Ovis aries: one gene and its partners. The protein of the gene in region 1 interacts with the protein of each later gene in a biochemical or structural test. Links are inferred from orthologs where the notes say so. Each region holds a gene or a part of one and is shown in the gene's direction. Other genes may lie near its edges.

The links. The genes of interacting proteins can lie anywhere in the genome.
Region 2: the proteins of CD2 (region 1) and CD2BP2 interact in a biophysical measurement, tested with the Homo sapiens proteins (6 studies listed by BioGRID and IntAct, with this or other methods). The link is inferred for Ovis aries from reciprocal best matches to the Homo sapiens genes CD2 and CD2BP2.
Region 3: the proteins of CD2 (region 1) and CD58 form a complex in vitro, tested with the Homo sapiens proteins (3 studies listed by BioGRID and IntAct, with this or other methods). The link is inferred for Ovis aries from reciprocal best matches to the Homo sapiens genes CD2 and CD58.

What each region holds. Positions count from the first base shown.
Region 1 is NC_056054.1:94,155,546-94,159,767, forward strand, and holds the start of CD2 (T-cell surface antigen CD2), read left to right. Parts: upstream 1-1,422; 5' UTR 1,423-1,451; coding exon 1,452-1,512; intron 1,513-1,651; coding exon 1,652-1,954; intron 1,955-4,222. UniProt on the Homo sapiens protein: CD2 interacts with lymphocyte function-associated antigen CD58 (LFA-3) and CD48/BCM1 to mediate adhesion between T-cells and other cell types. CD2 is implicated in the triggering of T-cells, the cytoplasmic domain is implicated in the signaling function.
Region 2 is NC_056077.1:27,062,918-27,067,166, reverse strand, and holds the start of CD2BP2 (CD2 antigen cytoplasmic tail-binding protein 2), read left to right. Parts: upstream 1-1,449; 5' UTR 1,450-2,032; coding exon of another isoform or gene 2,033-2,653; exon of another isoform or gene 2,654-2,677; intron 2,678-2,950; exon of another isoform or gene 2,951-3,035; intron 3,036-3,600; exon of another isoform or gene 3,601-3,669; intron 3,670-4,224; 5' UTR 4,225-4,249. Other genes in the region: TBC1D10B (TBC1 domain family member 10B), read left to right, coding at 153-307, 394-1,029; sesquipedalian-1-like, read right to left, coding at 2,033-2,653. UniProt on the Homo sapiens protein: Involved in pre-mRNA splicing as component of the U5 snRNP complex that is involved in spliceosome assembly.
Region 3 is NC_056054.1:93,935,781-93,940,065, reverse strand, and holds the start of CD58 (lymphocyte function-associated antigen 3), read left to right. Parts: upstream 1-1,485; 5' UTR 1,486-1,507; coding exon 1,508-1,577; exon of another isoform or gene 1,578-4,285. UniProt on the Homo sapiens protein: Ligand of the T-lymphocyte CD2 glycoprotein.

The sequences.
Region 1 (4,222 bases):
AGAAGGATTGATTAATATTTCAGAGAGAACAGACATCTGCTCTCCATTTGTCCCATGAGAGCTTAGGAAAATTATCAGAAAGGCCAAGGCAGGGAGCCACATGGCCATCACCATGTCGCCTGGACCAGGACTTGGGAGGCTGTGGTTGGCAGCTGGCTAGTGGGTGAGCCACTTAGAGGTAAGGGGGCTAGAGGCAAAATGTTTCTCAGGATCTGCATATGCTTTGGAACAGATGTGTCCTAAGCACCCTTTATTAAAAACACTTGTTATTACAGAATGAATATGTTCATTATCAAAATTTCTAATTTCACCGAAGTTGATAAAATAGTGAAAGTTTCCTTTTTGCCTGTCCTGAAAGGGATGTGCTGTGAAAAGTTTGGCATGAGTCTTTACAGATTTCTTCCTATGTCTGCACTATTATAGTATAACGCAATACAATATGATATATAATATGCTCTTAGGGCTGCTTCATTCTATTTTAACTCAACCACTATTTCATCATATGAATATACCACAATTTCAGTTGTTTGAAAATTTTTATTACCAAAAAAGCTATAACAAATATCCTTGGACAGAATTTTTACACACTTATTCAAGCGTTTTTGAAGGATAGATTTCTCAAATTAAAATTACTAGGTTAAAATATATATATATATATATATATATATATTTTTTTTTTTTAAGTTTAGTGGAAACTGTCAAATCCCATCCATGGGAAGTATACTTTATACTCCCTCAAGTATTATATGAAGGTGCCTGCTTCTCCCAACATTCCTGTCAATAATGTAAATCACTATCTTTTCTAATTTTACCAATTTGAATGTGAAGATGGTGTTTTATGACTTATATATATATATAATAGCTATTATATATATATATATCTGTAGCATTAGATGTCTTCTCATACATTTACTGACATTTTTTCTATAATGTATTTCTTTTATAGATTGCTTGTTTGTATTCTTTGTTGATTTTAAAAACCAAATTTCATTTGTCTTATTGATTGATAGGAACAATTTACTTATTTCAATAGTAATACTTTTTCATATATACTGCAGTAGAGGGCATAGAAGGCGGGCCGTAAGGTTGCATCTGGCTCTTTGTTAACTAAAGGGTGATTCTGAGTGGCTTACATAGTTTGTTAGTTCCTCTTCTCTTTGATGAGCATAATAAAACCCACCCAAGGCTGCTGTGAGGATTAAAACATGATGAGAAGACACACTCAGGCATATACCTGCTTTGGCAAAGAGCTACATCAGCCAGGTTGGTTTTCTGAATTGTATACGCTTGTATGTGTGTGTGTGTGTGTGTACGTCTGTTTTCTATGTTACCTAAAGAAGCAAAAAAGAGAGGCACGTGGTTAAGCTCACAGGGGGTGGATTCCACTGATGTTAACTTGAGTTCCTTTTGCAAGAAGAACACAGAATCACAGAAGGAAACGATCCCCAAAGATGAACCTCGCATGTGAACTCTTAGCCAGCTTCCTTCTGATTTTCACTGTTCCCACCAAAGGTAAGTTGGTGTGAGGGTCTTCACTCTCACTGTTAGCAGCTTCGTTGGAGACCCTGAACTGAGCTTAAAAGTCAGAAAGGGCACAGCCCTGCTTTTCCTTGGGAGCGAGGCACCTCAGCACCTGTCTTGTTTTTTGTAGGTGAAGACCCTGAAAGCACTGTCGTCTGGGGTGCCCTGGATCATGATCTCAACCTGGACATTCCTGGTTTTCAGAGAAGTGACATAGTGGCAGATATACAATGGCACAAGAGCAGAAACAAGATTACACGAATGAAGAAAGATATGCCACTTTACAAGCTGACGGACAAATATGATATGTTTACAAATGGAACTCTGAAAATTAAAGCTCTGATGAGAAACGATAGTGATCTCTATAAGGTAGAGGTATATAATTCCAATGGAGTAAACCTACTGAACAAAAAATTTGATTTGAAGATTCAAGGTAAGTCTTTGACCCCTAAATTCCTCCATCGCAAAATGGGTGCTATTTAGCAAGCCAAAGAGTAGCATTTATGCAAGGTCCTCAGCCCAGATGTTGGCCTTGGGGAGCCCTAGGGGAAACCGAACGCATTCCTCCTGCCTTGATGCAAGGTCCAGTCTTGCGGGAGAGACAGATAGACGCCACAGCTAATAGACCCTCACGTCTACACACTTCACCTCTCCAGAGGTGGTGGGGATGCTGATTTGCGTGAAGGATCTAGATTGACATGGCATTATTTAGGAGGAGGGGAATCAGTGGGCAGAAGGGGGGAAAGGTGACCATTTCAGGTGGATGATGAAGGATAAGCTATGAGGCTAGGAAGGGGAGGCTGACTGAAGGGCAGTGGGTCTTCTGCCAGAGAGACAATTTCAAGCCCGGATGTCCTGAAGGAGTGGTGGTAAGGCAGGAAAGGGCTGGAAATAATGCATTAAAGGATGAATAGTTTCTAATCTGCTCAACACCAGAATGATCAAAGGTAGAAGGTATTCTTGCTGGTATCTGTAGAAAATACACAAGGTGTGGCTCTGTATGTCTATGCGTGTACCGGGGGAGCAGTAGTAGCTACGGAAGATGAAAGATGGAAGACTAGGCAGGGAGCTGCTGCTTTAATCCGGGGGAAGCAGGAAGGGGCTGGTTGGTGAGTCTTAATTCAGGCTTCATGTTGCAATCAGCTGAGGTACAGTAAAATTTACCAGTACTAAGTTCCATCCCAGACCAAATAAATCAGAGTTTCTTGGCTCAGGGCCTGCGCATTGTAGGTGCTAAACTCCCCAGGTGATTTTAAAGCACAGCTGGAGCTGATAACCAGTGGCCTAGACCAAGTGAAGTCGCTCAGTTGTGTCCTACTCTTTGCGACCCCGTGGACTGTAGCCTACCAGGCTTCTCTGTCCATGGGATTCTCCAGGCAAGAATACTGGAGTGGGTTACCATTTCCTTCTCCAGGGGATCTTCCCGACCCAGGGATCAAACCCAGGTCTCCCTCATCGGAGGCCTAGACCAAAGGGTGCCTATAAAATGCCTGAAGCATGCTTACACTGAGGGTCATGTGTGGAAAAAGGATGGACAAAGTGGCTTGAGTTCGAGAGAGAGGGACGAGAAAGTAGAATTGAATTGACATTGAAGTTGCAAGTCCAGGAGTCACTTGGCAGGGCATGGATAACAGTAGAAGAAGCTGAGCTTTGCTTGGAGAAGAAGATAGGAACCTGAGCCTGAACACAAGCCAGAGATTCAGTGAGCAAATAAGCATTTCCGTGCTTGACACAGGAAATGCAGCCAAAGGAAGGGCCCCCTCCTCCTTCGTAAAGTCACCCTCCAGCCCTGCTCTTGAGCACGGGAATCTGGTAGCAGCCCCCACCCACAACAGTCACAGATGGCAGCCCCCCTGCAGATGACAACTTTCCACACCTAGTCCGGCACCAGAATACAGACTACAGCTCAGAAATGGGGTGAGATAGATGCAGCCAGAACGGGCCTCTGTTGTGGGCTCTGGGAACCACAGATATCATAACTTTGGCCAAGTATCCTGTTTCAAACTTGAGCTTCACATCCACGTATCATTTACTATTGCCTGGGTGATAATGGCTACTGGTGATGTGTTACGCGCTTTGTTACATGCTCTTACTTAAGGATCCCAACAATCCTGAGAGGTAGTTATTCCCTTATCAACTATGAGGAAACAGGTAGTGGTCTGACGGGAGCAAAGTCAGGATCCAAACCCAAGGCTGGTTTCAGCAAGGATGGTGACATTCTGCCCTCACCCTGCCCCAACCCACCCCTACCCCATCGGCTTTATTGAGACATAATGCACATACCGTAAAATTCACCATATAAAGTACATGATTCTATGGCTTGTAGCGTATTTACAGAGTTGTACAACCAAACCGACAATCAATTTTAGAATGTTTTCACAACCTCAAAAATAAATTCTCACTCTTTTGCCAAAAGACAGAGATCTTTCCATGACACAACTGCCATCGTGTTGTGTGTGTGTGTAAATGTTACGCAGCATGTCCATTTGTGATCCAGTCACCATTTCTTGCCACATGGCCTTGGGCAAATTCTCTATCTGCTCTGAGTCTGATTTTCATAATTATAGCCCTATGGGGGATTCGTGGGACAAGGCTTCAGGGAAACAGCTAACCATAGGTGCCTCAGGCCCCTGGGACGCAGTATCTGTCTCCTCAGTGCTAGAGCTCTCTCCATCTCTTTGTTCCTTCAAGCTTCTCTGTT
Region 2 (4,249 bases), on another chromosome or scaffold:
CCCATGGTGGCTCATTTTCTTCTCAAGGCCTCCATTTCCTCATCTGTCGGGTCAACAATACACAGGGATGGGGGCTGTGAGTACCCCCTGCACGGGCCAGGCTGAGACCCCCCAGGCTGATCACCCATGGCCTCTTCTCTTCGGGCCTGCAGGCGTCAAGATCATCTTCCGGGTGGCCCTGGTGCTGCTGCGGCACACGCTGGGCTCGGTGGAAAAGCTGCGCTCCTGCCAAGGCATGTATGAGACCATGGAGCAGCTGCGGAACTTGCCTCAGCAGTGCATGCAGGAGGACTTCCTGGTGCACGAGGTAGGTCCTGGCCTTAGCGTACCTCACACCCGCTTCAGTAGATCCCCACCCCACTTCACCCTGGTACCCATGTCTTCTCCATCTAGGTGACCAACCTCCAAGTGACAGAAGCACTGATTGAGCGAGAGAACGCAGCCCAGCTCAAGAAGTGGCTGGAAACCCGGGGCGAGCTGCAGTATCGGCCCTCACGGAGACTACACGGTTCCCGGGCCATCCACGAGGAGCGCCGGCGGCAGCTGCCCCCCCTGGGCCCCTCCTCCAGCCTCCTCAGCCTCCCTGGCCTCAAGAGCCGGGGCTCCCGGGCAGGTGGAGGGGTCCCCTCCCCACCCCCTCCCGTCCGCAGGGCCAGCGCGGGGCCTGCCCCAGGGCCCGTGGTCACCGCCGAGGGACTGCGTCCATCCCTTCCTTCGCCTACTGGCAACAGCGCCCCTCTGGCCCCTAGCGGCAAGGAGGCCCGGAGGCAGGAGAAGGAGCGGCAGAAACAGGAAAAGGAACGCGAGAAGGAGCGGCAGAAACAGGAAAAAGAACGGGAGAAGCAGGAGAAGGAGCGGCAGAAGCAGGAGAAGGAGCAGCAGAAACAGGAGAAGGAGCGGCAGAAGCAGGAGAAGAAGGCCCAGGGCAGGAAGCTCTCACTCCATCGAAAGGCAGATGGACCGCCTGCCCCCCAGGACGGCGGGGACAGGTCCTCAGCATCAGAGGCCCGGCAGGATGCGTACTTCTGACCTCTGCCCTGGGGCTGGACTACGTGGCCCCCTCTTTTCCCTCAGCCAAGAGCAGACCTAGCCTGGGGTCCTGCTCCCAGCCCGCCCTTGGCAGGCTGTCCCTCTTTTTGAGGAAAGTGGCTTGTTCCCCGTCTCCGTGCCAGCCGCTGATCCCCACGTGGCCAGGACAGTCAGAACGGGGGGCAGCTGCATTTCCCTGGGGAAGCAGTGGACACCTCACCTCCAGCTCGGCCCAACTGGGGTCCCTTCCCAGGTGCCACTCTCCTGATTGGCCTTTGGTCACCGCAGGGGTGACCTGTGGCAGTGGGAGTCAGCAGTTTTCAGATTCTTACACTCCAGTCACTCCCCTTACCCGTGAAGTGAAGCTGGGTTCCTTTACCCCCTTCAGTCCTGCCTGTCTTCCCCCAGTTCCTGGTTGGGGGCCCAGGCTCTTCTTGCTCTCCTTCTGGACATCTCTGTGTTGTAATTATGTACAGAGGACCTGGTGGGCCCCGGGTGGGGGTGTTCACTCCATCTTCTGTTCTCTGGTTCTCCCTCCTCAGTGTTCTTGCACTCTAGTTTATTTAAGGGGACACGCACTGGAACAGGAAATGTCTCCCACCTCCCACCACCACCCTCCTTGCTCTCCTTCCTCTTCACCCACCTTTCTCTGTATTCTCAGGCCTCCCCTGCTTTATCTGACCAGGGCCCCTGCCTTTCACTTTGTCCCTTCCAACCCTCCAGCCCCTTCCTGGGTAAGGGTCTTCCCCTGAGCCCCAGGGGGTGGAACCCAATGTTTACATGTTCTTCTGTCTCTGCCCCCACCCTGTTCGGCCGCTTTGAGGAACCGGAAAAGAACCTGCTGTTGTACCTGGGCCTGTCTTTTGCCTTGTTATTTGATGAGTGGGGTTAAAGTAAGGACAAGGAGGGAGGGAGTGATGAGTTAGCAAGGATCTGGGTGTCTCTGGAAGCTGTTGACTGGACTTGGCAGATACCTTTGGGTCTTTAGTCTATTAGTCACTCATCAACACAGTTGTTGCGTTCCTGCTTCACCTCCACCTGCTGGGGATCTGCTGCCTCCGTTGTCACTGGCCTCCTGGAACTGTCTGTGGACAGCCTGCAGCATCCGGATCTCCTTTCCAAAGTGCTCGTGCAACTCCTGGAAGCTGAAGAGGGTCCTGGGGGTGGCTGGGGAGCCACAGTCCTCTGGGGGTGAGCCGGGCTCTTGGCCAGCTGCCTGGCACAGCTCCCGGTACTGGGCCTCCAGGGGGCGTAGCAGCTCAGCCAGCCGCGTCCAGGTGGCTCCGGCCAACGCCCACAGCCAGGCTCTCAGCTCCTCCCGGTTTTCTGCTGCCAGCCTGTAGGCCCGCCCACCATCTCCCCCTGGAGTCCGAATGGTAAAGGCATAAGGTTCTGTGGCTCCAAGGCGTGGCTCCACCTGGCAGTTCTCTAATAGGATGAGACCCAGGGGTGTGTGGTCAGCCTGGTGTTCCAGGTAGAAGAGGAGGTTTCCTCGCAGGATGAACCAGCGGCGCTGATAACTGGTATTTCGGGCCCCCTTCTTTAGCAGGATGCCCTCCCGGTCTGGAGCCTGTGTTCTGTACCCACGGAAGAAACGGAGCACGGACTTTCGGTGCAGTTTCATGGTAGCCCACTGTGGGAAGAAACCCTAGGAGTGGAGAAAGGAGGAGTGGGGCATTTGGTGATCCGGAGTACCCCAGCACTGCCCTCCTCTGGTTCCAGCAGGCTCTTTCTGGGCACTGTCTTGGTCTTGGTCTAGAGGGATTCAAACTTGAGTTTTCAAGAAGGACCTTCCACCCACCTCCCAACCTCAGCTCTGCCCCTTGGGCCAAATTACAAAACCTGGGCAGGACTGTAGTGCTGGGGTCCTGTTTGGGGGTGGGGTTGGCGGATATCCACTACGGCCCTTTCCCAGGCCTACCTGAGATGAGGGCACAAGGGACTTCAGGCCTCGGTACTGGGAACAGGTGCCACTGCCACCTCTCCTATTTGACTCTTCCCACCTCAGAAACCAGGAACTTGGCCAGGGGATAGGAGGCGGCTGATTTTAGACTTCCCCTGGGTCCTAAAAGGAGCTGGGTTCGGAAAGTCCCAGGAGAACCTCTGGGACAACAGCAAGGCTACACCTCGGACTAGCAAAGGGCGGACAACTGGACGCCAAGAGTAGGAAGGCAGGATTTCTAATGAGATGATGAAGGGCGCAGAACCAGCCGTGGGGAAAAGGAGACAACCCGGGAAAGAGAAAACTAGGGCAGGAACCCACCGGCCCTGCTGGGACTTTGTTCCTCCATCGTGAACCTGGGCGCCCCTTTCTCCTCAGAGCCTCTAGTGTTGTAGGAGGAAACCGAGATCACTTCCGGCCATCCTCGTCCGATCAGGGTCTAGGCGTTCAAATGTCCCCTCTTCTCACCATAGTCACCCCACACGGCTCGCGTCACTTCTGGGAGGGGGCGTCTCTCCCCGCGCGGCGCGTACTTCCGCCCGCTCCTTCAGTTGTTCATCTAACCCGAGTGAAGCCACTTCCGGCTTTCCCCGCCGCCTTCCGCAGTTCTCTTCCGGGTGGTGGCGGGCGGGTGGCCCGGATGTAGCCCTGGTGAAACCCTCTCTCCCTTTCTTCCCCCACCTTTCCTGGATCCTTAGGTGAGCGCGTGCCGGCGGGACTGCTGGTGTCCCCGTGGCCCTGCCGCCTTTCTAATTTGTACACAGCCCAAGACAGTTGGGAGTCACCCCGCGGAGTTGGGAGTTCGGCGCAGGGAGGAGCGGGGCTGCCAGGGCGCTAGGTCCTGGGTCTGCCGGGGCCCCTCGGGTTCCGAGGAAGCTGGGGGTGGTGGAGCGGGTGTTTACCCGCGAAGCACATCGCGCCCAGCACTGCTGGGGCCTGGAATAAGGGTGGTCACGTGGGGGAGCCCGTCTCCTCTTGTCAAGGGTGGGGGTGCCCGTAGGAGCTCCTCCGCCCGTCCGCTCTTGCGTCTCCGCACCAGCGGCTCTTTTAGATGCTAAGCCAAGTCCCGGGAGGGGCGGGGGGAGGGGCGGGTTCTGGACTACCAGCTCGCCTTTCGGCTCCTGATTCTGTACTCCCTTCCCAAAGTGGATCTAGTACCCGCCAAGTAAAAGATCTGTTGTGCAGGGGGCCCCCTCGCGGGGAGTTGCCTCCTCACCCAGTTCCCTTAATCTGCACCCTTTCCCTCTGCTCAGTTTGGAAAAGCCCTTCTGTCCAGTC
Region 3 (4,285 bases), about 220 kb from region 1:
TGGTCCCAGGAATTTCACAGATAGAGACACCTTTTACAATTTCATGGCTAATTTAAGAAATAATTTATGGATTCTTACAGTGTAGTTCAAGTATCTTGAGTGGTTTGGGGGTCCCCACCTGAGGATGATGGCAATCACAGCAAGAATAAAGCCCATTTCCACTCTTTCACAACTGGCAAACAGGTTGGTGTTTGTTAGGACAACAGAGGGTCCAGTTCATGAGTCCAGTTCATGGGAGGAGTTTCCTGCCCACATAGTAAGGAAGAGTTCCCTGAGCCTCAGTGGCTGAGCAGAGGTCACTCTGGTGCTTCTGTCTGAAAGAAAAGGAGCTGTCAGGGAAGCCCATGCCAGGAGCTGGTTCTGGGAATACAGTAGTAACTGAGCCTGGGAGCAGGTGGATTTGAGGCAAGAGGACTAGTCAATAAGATAGAGATTTCAAGTCCCTACTGCAGCTCGAGGGACAGAGATTTGGGGAGGCCAAACACTGAGGGAGTGAACAGGTCTGACTCCTCAGCCTGAGGGTTAGGAGGAAGAGTGAAACAGAGCAAATGGAGAAGGGAGAAACCCGAGGCTGGAAATCCCAGCTCTGAGTAGGGGAGTGCTGGGGTGGGAGTCAGTCTTAAGGAAAAGATGACTGCCCTGCAATGAGGAAAGGTAGGCACTTGAGAGGGGTGGGGAGGTTGGGGCTGCACCAGGGAACTGTACACATTCTAGCAGTTGTCTAGCATGTCCCATTTCCTTTCGTTTTAGTATTTGATTGCCTTCTCCGAGTATTTGAGGAAAGAGTGCTTCAAAGAGGCTGTTTTATCTAGAGTCATCAATGGGGCATGTGTGCTACTCGCTCAGTCGTGCCCGACTCTTTGCGACCTCATGGACTGTAGCCCGCCAGGTTCCTCTGTCCATGGGGTTCTCCAGGCGAGAATACTGGAGCGGGTTGCCGTTCCCTTCTCCAGGGAAATTTTCCCGACCCAGGGATTGAACTCGGGTCTCCGGCATTGTGGGCAAGTTCTTCATCGTCTTAACCTGCAGGCAAAACTTCCGCGCTGCTGCAGCTGCTGGAAAGCGCTGGAAGAATAAAGCGCTTCGGAACCTCCGTGTCCCACCGGAGTTCTCCTGTCACCTCCCGCCCAGTGGGACGCAGCTTTCGGGGACCGACAGTCCGATACCTCCAGCTGCGGGGGCGCCTCCATCGCGTTCCTAATGCCAAGGAAAAGTGCGAGAGGAACGAGGATAAACCTGGTTGTAAAAACGCACGCCACTTTTGCTAAAGAGCTCCACAGAGCAAAGCGGGTGGCTGCGGAATGGCAGGAACGACTGGGACCCGAACTTAGTCCGGGAAAAGAGGAAAGGGCCGGCGCCCAGACTGCATCCGGTGCCAGCCCGCCGCGGGGGAGGCGGGGCGCGCGAGGCGGGGCGCGGGGCGGGGAGCGCAGTGGGGCTGGCTCTCCGGCAGGCCCAGGCCGAGTTGTGCGGCTGCGACCCATTAGCAGAAACTGCCTGGACCGCCATGGCCGCAGGGAGTGCCCCTGGGTGTGCCCTGGGGGCCCTTGGACTGGTCTGCCTGTTCCTCAAATTGGGTGAGTGGAGGCCTCCTCCGGGAGCCCACAGGGACCGGTAGCGCGAGGTGTCAGTGGCCCCCGGGCTCCGGGCCCGGTGGACGGGCGCGGCCCAAGGCGGCTGCAAGTTCGGGTGGCGAAGGTGGCGGGGGGCACGCGCGCGGGACCTGGTCGTGTCATCCACAAATCACCATAGGGTGGTCAGTAAGAAACTTGCTCCTCAGGCTCTGAGGTCTGGGAAAAAGAAACCAGACTCCGGCTCGTTCTCCTTCCCTGCGCTCTTCCCTCCCTTTGGGAGTCCTTCTTAACTCCCACGATCCCCGAACCCCGCTTGTCTTCCACCCCGTGTTTTTCTGGAAGGGGTGCCTTTTCTGCGCGACCCCAGTGACTAAGTTACCACTTCCCGAGACGCCATCGTCCAGAACTTGAGCAGATCTTTTTTTTTTTACTGCTTCCGCAGCCCTCGAGCTTGTCCGGGGCGGGCCTCCCCACTGGCAGTGGATCGCGCTGTGTGCGCGCGCGCCGGCTTCTGCGCTGGGATGGGCGCCCCGCGGCCAAAGCCAAGTGCAACCGCGCCTGTCCCGCGGCCGCGCCCTGGGCTGATGGCGGTGGTTCAGAATCGCCTCGCAACAGGAACGAGTGGGCCTCGATTCGGAGTTTCTAAGTAGTGTGGCTGGTGCTGCTTTCCCCTCCCTTCGGAACAGAAAAGGAGGAATGTGTGAGTGTCTAGGACTGTGTTCCTCCTTTTCACACTTCTTCAGTTAAATTGTCACAACAGCCCCATAAGATAGGTATCTTTGTCTCCATTTTTTTACCTCCTCACCCACATCATCAACCTCTTCCCACACAGGCTCGTAGTTAAGTCATAGCCAAACCCCTGGAGCATAGTAACAGCCCCCTTAATTAGTACTGGGAAAATCCCCCTGCTGGCCCTTTAGCACACACATCTGATCAGCCTTTCCTCTCCACTTTGCGTTCAGAGTGTGTTGAGTGCCTGTGGAGGCATGCGTCTATGGAATACAGCCTGGGTGGGGGTCGTCGTGGTGGGTGGGGGTCGACATGTGCTCAAAAGTACCTACAGTGTAAGGCACAGAAGTAAATGTTGTAAGAGGTAAATATAAAGTGCTGCGGGTGTGCAGAGGGAAGAGAGCCACATCTTTGGTGAAATCAAATATCTTTCGTGAAGGAAAAACTTCCTGGAAGGGAGGGTGTGTGAACCTAGCCTCGGAGGACAGGTGGTATCATGCCATGATGTGGGAAAAGGTGCCAGGAGGAGGAGATCAAGAAAGAAAGAGGAGGAGAATGTAGAGGGAAAACTTTGGCAGTAGGGAGCCATCAGTGTCACTGGAGAGTCGGTGTGCCCGTGGGATCTTGAGGCCCCATGGGGGACCCCGAAAGTCCCCTTTGGGAGCTGGGATTCTCTCCTGCAGGCAAAGCAGACCTGTTTCTGGGCCTGACAGGAGCAGACCCATCCACTTAGAATAATCTGGCAGCAGTGAAGAGAAAAGATTGTAGTTGAGAGGGATTGGAGGCAGAGGGGGCCAGGACAGGTACCATCACAGGCGCCAAAGGCTGTGAGGGTTTCATAGGCCAGAGCTGTCAGCACGAGGAAGAAGCACATACCGAGGTTGAACGGATGAGGTAATTCCTTCAGATGTGCAGGTCTCTCCCTGGTCTCAGAAGGCAACTTTGGCCACCACTGCCTGTTGCTATGCTCTTTTCCACTGAAAACAGTCTACCGATCTAGCCACACCTTTTCTAGGAAGACTCTCTAAAAACAGTCCCCTCATGATGGTCTCTCCCACCTAATTCATTTATTTATTCAGAGGTCATTTGGTTCTGCAGACATGAATATTACCTACTCTGAATAGGCTTTGCGCTAAGGAAAACTCTATAGCTCTGCAGATAGTGAGCCCTTTGGGTACCAAGCCGGTCTCAGTGGGGAAAGCTGCCTAACTGACTAACAGTATTGGATCTCAGATCCTGGCCCCGCCCCTCACGGTTAAAACTTCTGTAAGTTACCTCACTTCTCTGTGACTCTGTATCTTTGCCTTTGAAGAGAGAGCAGCACACACGTGAGAGAAAGGATACTAACATCTGCTTCATAGAATGATGGTGAGCATCAGTAATTCAACACATACTTACTGTCAGCTCTATGTCGGCACAGGGAAGCTTACAATTATTAGAGTGGGGGAGAGACAGTGAAGAAAGAAAGCAGTAAGTGTGCAGTTGTTGGGTGGTTGTGAACATTTACTAATACAGAGGTTAGCAGTGCAGAGCAAGGGAAATGGAAGTGGTTAATAGTTCTTACTAATTTTCTTAAATTTTGGAAAACTTAAAATCTTTAGAGTAGTTGTGAAAACAGTACAGTGAACACTTGCATGCCTTTCTCCTTGAATCACCAGTTATTAACATTTTATCACATTTGGTTTACTTCTCTCTCTTTATAGAGACAAACACCCACACCTACCCAGTTACTTTTTCTTGTTGTTTTTTTGCTAAACCGTTTGAGAAATGCAGCTCTTACAACACCTTAACCCTAAATATTTCAACATAGGTCTTGTAAGAATAATATGTCTCCAGGAAGCCCTGGCACCATTTTCAGAGTCAGGAAGTATAGCATGGATAAAAGACTGTTTTCAGATGGGGTCCAGAAGCCAGTCCTGGATCATACAAGTTTGGTACTCACGCCTGTTTGTGCTGTGCTATACTTAGTCACCCAGTCCTGT